Macaca mulatta: one gene and its partner. The protein of the gene in region 1 binds, or shares a complex with, the protein of each later gene. Links are inferred from orthologs where the notes say so. Each region holds a gene or a part of one and is shown in the gene's direction. Other genes may lie near its edges.

Region 1 (4,884 bases):
GGCTGGAATGCAGTGGCTCAGTCATAGTTCACTGAAACCTTAAAGCGGGCTCAGGTGATCCTCCCACCTCAGCCTCCTGAGTAGTTGGGATTACAGGCACTGCTACCACACCAGCTAATTTTTTTGTTTTGTTTTGTTTTTAGAGATGAAGTTACACTATGTTTCCCATGGTGGTCTTCATCTCCGGGCCTCAAGCGATCCTACTGCTTTGGCCTCCCAGAGTGCGGGGATTACAGAAGTGAGCTACTGTGCCCAGCTATAATTGTTATGTAATAGGAATTAGTGCTGATATAATTCTGGAATTTTCTGTTGTTGTTGTTGCTTTTAAGAAGTGTCCCCACCAAGTTTGATTAGCTTGGGGAGCTGCTGTAAAAATTCATAACAAGGCCCCTCCCAAGAGGCTGCCAAATGGGAAAGTCTGTGTGTCCTGTGGTTTATGGTTCTACAAACAGTTTAGACATTTATGTAGGAGATCTGGATTTTTGAGCTCTTTCCCCTTCCACAGAGCACCTCAATTCAATTATTTATGCAAAATATAATTATAAAAAGCTTAAAACATGACTTACAAACAAATATATAACGGACATATATCAGAAATGTATTTAACTGGATAAAGAAAATGTGGTACATATATACCATGGAATACTACAAAATCACAAAAAAGAATGAGATGATGTCCTTTGCAGCAACCTGGATGCAGCTAGAGGCTATTATCCTGAGCAAACACAGGGATGGAAAACCAAATACTGCATGTTCTCACTTATAAGTGGTAGCTAAACTTCGAGTACATATGGACACAAAGAAGGGAACAACAGACAACGGGGCCTTGAGGGTGGAGGGTGGGAGGAGGGTGAATACCCCTATCGTGTACTAGGCATATTACCTGGGTGACTAAATAATCTGTACACCAAACCCCCATGACATGCAATTTACCTGTATAACAAACCTGCACATGTACCCCTGAACCTAAAATAAAAGTTTTGAAAAATTTATTTAACTTGTTACCGAGGAAACTAGCTATATGGTGAAGCCAATTCAAAGGAGAATTTGAGGAAGGGAGGTTTACAGCCAGTCAAGAAAGGCATGTTCAAATAAAGTTATCTTTAGAGATAAAACTGGTTAATATCATAAAGGGCAATGAATGAAAGAGTTACCTTTGGAGTTGTCTTCTCTGTATGACAATCATCATTTGTTTCTCTCCCAGGCAATAATCTACAAATTAATCTGTAACTTCAAAGTTCTTCCCTTAATCAATAGTAAATAGTAAGTCAAACAAAATATTTCCCTTGGAGAATGAAAGAAGCCTCAGTGGGCCCATTGGACAGTCCTCCATTATAACATGGAAAGGAAATGCAGTCACTGTTTTGCCTTATATCCAAATTCTGGATAATTTTTCTTTTCTTTTCTTTATTTGTTTTGACACAGGGTCTCTGTCATCTAGTCTGGAGTGCAGTGGCACAATCACAGCTCACTGCAGCTTCAACCTCCCGAGCTTAAGCAAACCTCCACCTCAAGCCTCCAGGGTAACTGGGACCATAGGCATGCACCCTGGCTAATTTTTTTTGTAGAGATAGGGTTTCACCACGTTGCCCAGGCTAGTGTCAAACTCCTGGGCTCTGCCCACCGTGGCTTCCCAAAGTGCTGGGATTAGAGGCCTGAGCCACGTGCCAGCCTTGGATCATTTTTCTTCCAAAGCACCTTCTCCCTCTTATCCTTGTGTTAGCAATAGTCATAATGAGGCCCCTTCCCCACTCTTCCTTCTTCTTGACTCTGCCAAGTATCCAGGAAGGGGCTGTGTGTATCTTGGCAGGTATGTGCCCTGGAACTTTCATGAGCCCTGGCCAGGACAGTACCAGTTTTCTGAGGACCATGATGTGGAATATTTTCTTCGGCTGGCTCACGAGCTGGGACTGCTGGTTATCCTGAGGCCCGGACCCTACATCTGTGCGGAGTGGGAAATGGTGAGTGTGGCTAGACTGGGTTCTGCCTGGTGTGTGAGTTGGCAGGCAGCAGCCCTGGGGCAAAGGGCATTAAGGCAGACCTGCATTCCAGAGAGCATGGGGCCTGGGACTGTACCCAACACAGGTGTCTTTTACCTTGGCAAGGTACCCAGGCAGAGAGAAGCAGGCCGGGGTCAGGGCATGGGCTCTCCTCTTGGTGGTCACTCATATAACTCAGGTTGCTCGTCTGTAAGAAGCAGTTAATGGTGTCTTCTCTGTCTACCTCGCAGGTAGTTGTGAAACTAAATTGAACAATCTTTATGGAAAAGGCTTTGGTCCTCAAAACATTGCATTCATGCAGAGTGATCTTAATTGTACTACATTCCAATGTCTAATTTCCCTGCAAGTTATAAACCAAAAAGCCCAGCTCAAATACCTCTTGTCCCTTGAAGCTTTTATTCTTTTCCATAACTGCTAATAGTAATTTCTGTCTCCTCTGAGCTCCCTTCACAGAATGGACATTATAATGGCTTATTTTTCCTGACCTAGGGAGGATTACCTGCTTGGCTGCTAGAGAAAGAGGCTATTCTTCTCCGCTCTTCCGACCCAGGTAAGTTGTTACAGATGTCTTGAGAAGATTTATAAAAGCTTCAGGCCGTTGTGCACATGTACCCTAGAACTTAAATTATAATAATAATAAAATTAAATTAAAAAAAAAAGAAAAACAGCTTCTGGCTAGGTGCGGTGGCTCACACCTGTAATCCTAGCACTTTGGGAGGCTGAGGCGGGTGGATTACCTGAGGTCAGGAGTTCGAGACCAGCCTAGCCAATATGGCAAAACCTCGCCTCTACTAAAAATACAGAAAATTAGCTGGGCGTGGTCGTGGGCGCCTGGAATCCCAGCTACTCAGGAGGCTGAGGCAGGAGGATTGCTAGAACCCCAGAGGCAGATGTTGCAGTGAGCCGAGATCGTGCTAATGCACTATAGCCTGGATGACAGAGCGAGACTACGTCTCAAAACAAACAAACAAACAAAAAAAGCTTCAACAATTTTTATCGAAAGGGGGAGGTATTTTGAAGTTTGGGGTACCTCTGCACAAATACTTTTGAAAGTTTACTGAAAGTCTGAGTGTTTATCACCGTCCAGTGCATAGCACCAAACTAAACCTCTAGGAAATTAGGCTCTGAACTACTTAACCAGATCTTACTGATAAACTGGTAATTCTTTGAATTGGCATTGAGCCCTGTTTGCGGTTGACCAGCTGACTTCAATGCTTTCTCTTCCTATTTACTTAGCATATTCCACAACCAATGATAGCACCTAGCTAATCAAAATGACAAGCCAGGCATGGTGGCTCACACCTGTAATCCCAGGACTTTGGGAGGCCAAGGAGGAGGGATCGCTTGAGCCCAGGAGTTTGAGACGAGCCTAGGTTACATAGTGAGACCCCATCTCTAAGAAAATTTTAAAATTAGCCAGGTGTGCTGGCATGTGCCTGTAGTCCGGCAGGCTGAGGTGGGAGGATTGCCTGAGCCTGGGAGGTTGAGGCTGCAGTGAGCCATGATTGCACCACTGCACTCTAGCCTGGGCAACAGAGAGGGACTTTGTCTCAAAGAAAGAAATAAGGCCGGGCACAGTGGCTCAAACCTGTAATCCCAACATTTTGAGAGGCCGAGGCAGGCAGATCACCTGAGGTCGGGAGTTCGAGACCAGCCTGACCAACGTGAAGAAACCCTGTCTCTACTAAAAATACAAAAATTAGCCAGGTGTGGTGGTGCATGCCTATAATCCCAGCTACTTGAGAGGCTGAGGCAGGAGAATTGCTTGAACCTGGGAGGCGGAGGTTGCAGTGATCCCAGATTGCGCCATTGCACTCCAGCCTGGGCAACAAGAATGAAACTCTGTCTCAAAAAAAAAAAAAGAAATAAAAACAAAATGACAGTTTCTGGGATGGTGTCATTGGATTGCTTGGTAGCTGCAATGCCTTCTATTTTTGTCTACTTCTACAGAGCAATGTGTAAATGATGGTTTTTTTCTTTGTCTTGCTCCAGGACCTTCATGTTTTGCACACTTAGCATATTATTGGTGTTTTCATATGTAGTAACTCCTTTAATCCTTATGCCAACTTTATGTGGCATGTACTTTTATTATTCCTATTTGACAATATAACTATATAATTTGTTAGAACTTCATTTTATACAGAAAAAAATCTTCCTGTGACTGAGAAGAGGACACACTGTTCAGTGACTCTTTTCTTCATTCAGCAAACGTTGCTTGGATATGTTCTATGCTCCAGGCTTTGTGTCCGTCCTATGGCAAGGATGGTGTCTTAGTCCATTTTCTGTTGCTTGTAACAGAATACCTGAAGCTGAGTAATTTATAAAGAAAAGCATTTATTTCCTACAGTTATGGAGGCCGAGAAGTTCAAAGTGGAAGGGCTGTATCTGGTGAGGGCCTTCTTGCTGGTGGGGACTCTGCAGAGTCCTGAGGGGGCACAGGGCATCACATGGTGAGGGGACTGAGTGTCCTAGCTCAGATCTCTCTGCCTCTTCTTATAAAGCCACGAGTCCCGTTCCCATGATGACCCATGAATCCACTAACCTATGAATCTATTAATCCACGAGTGGATCGATCTGCTTATGAGGGCTGAGCCCTCAAGACCCAACGCCTCTTAAAGGCCCCACCTCTCAGTGCTCCCGCACTGGGGATTCTGTTTCAGCGTGAGTTTCGGAGGGGACAAACATTCCAGCCGTAGCAGACAGATACAGGCACGCTGGTCCTTGTCCCCTGAGGAGCTCAGCTGAGGAGACAACTACATGCAGGACGACTTTTATGAGACTTTTATTTCAGAAGGTACTTGTTGAGTCCCGTATATCCTGATCTCTGCTGCCAGCCCTGGTGTAATAAAGCTGCACTGGCTGCATTGGGGTCTCTTTGTACTAA
Region 2 (3,855 bases), on another chromosome or scaffold:
GCAATTCTTGTGCCTCAGCATCCCAAGCAGCTGGGACTACAGGCACGTACCACCACACCTGCTTAATTTTTTTGTATTTTTAGTACAGATGGCATTTTGCTGTTGGCCAGGCTAGACGCGAACTCCTGGCCTCAAATGATCTGCCCGCCTTGGCTTCCCAAAGTGCTGGGATTACAGGCGTGAGCCACGGCGCCCAGCCAGAGATCAGATTTTAAAGGAACTAAGGAGGCCTGTCTGTATGACCCTGGGGCACCTCTTTGGGAGCTAGCTTAGGTGACGTGCAGACCATACCCTGTGATACCTTTCCTAGTCTCCTAGGGTCAGGGAGGTTGGTGGGAGGTGGGGGTATGCTCGCCTCCTCTGCCCTCCTCTTCCCACCAGAGGCTGATGCACTTTTCACTCTCATCTCCTACAGGCTTTGGTCTTCTCTCCAGACCCACTGCTGCTCTCAAAACAAGTGTAACTTCTATGACAACAAAGACCCGGAATGCGTGACCAATGTGAGGTTCTGCCGTCACTCTGCATCAGCCCTCCCATCCCTAATCCCAAGAATGGGACCACATTCCCTCCTTGGGGACTCCTTGTTCTCCATCCCTCATTGCCTTCTTGCACCTTTAAGCAATAGTGTTCTCTGGGACATGTGTCTAAGTGTGTATTCCCACCACCACCTCCTATGGCGGCAAATCCCATAACCTGTGTGAGGGAGAAAGGACTTCTTCACATTTATCAAACACCTGCAGTGTGGCGGGCACTGTGCTGAACTGTGTCTATGTAGATTACTTAAGCTTCAAGATTCCTCCTCAAATGAGATCGTACTACCCACATTTTCCAGATAAGGAAACCTGAGGGCCATGAATTTTGAAATCACTGTCTGAAGTCAGTGTTGGGAGGCAGTGATGCTAGGATTTGGACCTAGGGCTGGGAAGATTCCTGCCACTGAGCCTCAGTTTCCCTACCTGTGAAAAAAAAGTGGGTGAAGAGGTGAAATTCAAGAGCAATAAATCTTGGGACAACTTGGTGGGGTTGTGGAGAGGCTAGGGATCTGTAAAGCATGGTGGCTCGGTGTATCATTGCAGCTTCAGGAAGTGGCCCGCATCGTGGGCAACTCTGGCCTCAACATCTACAACCTCTATGCCCCTTGTGCTGGAGGGGTGCCCAGCCATTTTAGGTAGGTGCTGCTGGGTGCCCCTGGGGCCAACCCCAGCCCCATCTGGAGGCTCCACCCATCCCCCCACCTCACATGCAGGTATGAGAAGGACACTGTTGTGGTCCAGGATTTGGGCAACATCTTCACTCGCCTGCCACTCAAGCGGACGTGGCATCAGGTGTGCAAGGGCGTGGGCTTCCTCCTGGTGAGGTGGGGACGGGGGCAGGGGCAGGGAAGCAGAGGCCCTGACCCTCTGTGTGTGCCCTCCAGGCATTGCTGCGCTCAGGGGACAAAGTGCGCATGGACCCCCCCTGCACCAACACGACAGCTGCTTCCACCTACCTCAACAACCCGTACGTGCGGAAGGCCCTCCACATCCCGGAACAGCTGCCGCAATGGGACATGTGCAAGTGAGGCTCTGTGGCCACCTGTGACTGGGGGTGGTGGGTTGCTGGGGCTTGTGGGCACCAGCAGGTTCCTAGGGATCTTCTGTGTAGGGTTTCTTGATGAGATGAGCTGTACAGGATGTTTAACATCCATCCCTGACCCCTCAGTGGATTGACAGCCAATTCTTTTTTCTTTTTTAAATGTTAAATGTTTTTGTTTGAGACAAGGTCTCACTCACTCTGTCACCTAGGCTGGAGTGCAGTGGCGTGATCACAGCTCACTGCAGCCTCGAACTCGTGGGCTCAAGCAATCCTCCCACCTCCCCCGTAGCTGGGACTACAGACGCACACCACCACCCCCGGCTTATGTTTGTATTTTTTTGTAGAGATGGTGTTTTACCATATTGCCCAGGCTGGTTTCGACTCTGGGGCTCAAGTGATCCACCCACCTCAGCCTCCCAAAGTACTGGCATTACAGGCTTGAGCCACCCCGCCCAGCCCCAATTCATTACGTAGCCACATTGGTTGTTGTTTCACAGTTCACTACAGCCTCAACCTCCTAGCTCAAGCGATTCTCCGACCTTAGTCTCCTGAGTAGCTGGGTCTACAGGCACATGTCACCATTCTGGGCTGTTTTTAAAAAATTTTTTGTAGAGACAGGGTCTCACTATGTCGTCCAGGTTGGTCTTGAACTCTTGGTCTCAAGCAATCCTCCCTCCTTGGCCTCCCAAAGTGCTGAGATTACCCACCCAGCCACCACATTGGTTAATAACTATTACTTCTGACCTGGCGCAGTGGCTCATGCCTGTTATCCCAGCACTCTGGGAGGCTGAGGTGGGCGGATCACCTGAGGTTAGGAGTTCGAGACCAGCCTGGCCAACATGGTAAAACCCCATCTCTACTAAAAATACACAATTAGTCAGGTGTGGTGGTGGGTGCCTGTAATCCTAGCTATTCAGGGGGCTGAAGGAGGAGAATCACTTGAACCCGGGAGGTGGAGGTCGCAGTGAGCCAAGATCATGCTACTGCACTCCAGCCTGGGCAACAAGAGTGAAACTCCATCTCAAACAACAACAACAAACTATTACTTCCATGTCCAATCTCCTGTGAGCCCCCCACCACCGCAAGTAAAAGGGTGACACTGGGCCCATCTGGGGCTGCTCAGGTCCATTTTGATTGGTCAGTGCTCACACTCTACCTTGTTATATGTTGTGACTCTCACACCTGCTGGCCCCTAGACACTAAATGCCAGATGCATCCCAGTCCCTGTAACAACCAAAACGTGTCCCTGTAGGTGTTTTTTGTTTTGTTTTGTTTTGTTTTGTTTTTTGAGATGGAGTAACTTACTCTGTTGCCCAGGCTGGAGTGCAGTGGTGCAATCTTGCTCACTGCAACCTCTGCCTCCCGCCTCCCTGCCTTAGCCTTCTGAGTAGCTGGGATTACAGGCATGCACCACCATGCCTGGCTAATTTTTGTATTTTTTTTAGTAGAGATGGGTTTTCACCATGTTGGTCAGGCTGGTCTCGAACTCCTGGCCTCGTGATCCACTCACCTCGGTCTCCCAAAGTGCTGGGATTACAGGTGTGAGCCACCGCACCTGGCATCCCTGTACATTTCTAAATGGGGATGAGTTGAGGCTCTCTGAATCCCAGCCCATCATCCAGGTCAGTCCTAGAGAGGTGGCCCCCCAAAAAGAGGAGTGGAACCCAGCTGTCTGCTTTCTGGGTTGGAGCTTGGAGATAGGAGATAAGGTCTGATCTGTTGACTACTTTTCGCCCCTACCTGGTCTTCCTGGGGCCTGCGCGTATGTTCCCGGCAGCTTTCTGGTAAACTTACAGTACCGCCGTCTCTACCGAAGCATGAACTCCCAGTATCTGAAGCTGCTTAGTTCACAGGTGAGTGGGGACAGCACAGCTGGATCCACCAGCAGCCTTAGGACCCCAGAGTAGCACAGCAAGCTGGGGACCCTTTAGACTTCCTGTCAGGACAAGGGAAGCTGAAACTCCAAAAGGTGAAGCCCAGGGTACTGTGACTGGTGGGGTCAGAATTTGAACCTGGGTTTGTCCCCACCCATGCTGCACTGCTATAGGAGGCCAAGTGGTCTGGATCAGCCAAGGAGCCTTAAGGGTGAGAAGAGCTTCATTCATGCCAAAAATGGGCTAGCTGAGGTCCAGGGTGGGAGGAGACCTTGTCCAAGGTGATATAGGAGGCACTGGCAGAGCCAGGTTAGGACCGGGTTCTGTCCAGCACAGTGGTTCATAGCATGGGCTCTGGAGTCACATGGCCTGGGTGCAAGTCCCTGTACTAGACACATAATCTTGG

Evidence for each region. The genes of interacting proteins can lie anywhere in the genome.
Region 2: the proteins of GLB1 (region 1) and CTSA are in contact, whole or in part, in a cryo-EM structure (PDB 7KDV), measured with the Mus musculus proteins. The link is inferred for Macaca mulatta from reciprocal best matches to the Homo sapiens genes GLB1 and CTSA. Residues at the interface, in NP_033882.1 of Mus musculus: Tyr198, Asp199, Arg202, His206, Leu229, Thr233, Leu234, Gln235, Asp236, Leu237, Lys258, Phe259, Glu260; in NP_001033581.1 of Mus musculus: Glu29, Asp31, Ala37, Lys38, Gln39, Pro40, Ser41, Phe42, Arg43, Tyr107.

Annotation. Positions count from the first base shown.
Region 1 is NC_133407.1:15,447,895-15,452,778, forward strand, and holds part of GLB1 (beta-galactosidase), read left to right. Parts: intron 1-1,810; coding exon 1,811-1,961; intron 1,962-2,489; coding exon 2,490-2,550; intron 2,551-4,884.
Region 2 is NC_133415.1:98,687,721-98,691,575, forward strand, and holds part of CTSA (lysosomal protective protein precursor), read left to right. Parts: intron 1-415; coding exon 416-500; intron 501-1,076; coding exon 1,077-1,168; intron 1,169-1,246; coding exon 1,247-1,325; intron 1,326-1,366; exon of another isoform or gene 1,367-1,370; intron 1,371-1,417; coding exon 1,418-1,557; intron 1,558-3,352; coding exon 3,353-3,428; intron 3,429-3,855. UniProt on the Homo sapiens protein: Protective protein appears to be essential for both the activity of beta-galactosidase and neuraminidase, it associates with these enzymes and exerts a protective function necessary for their stability and activity.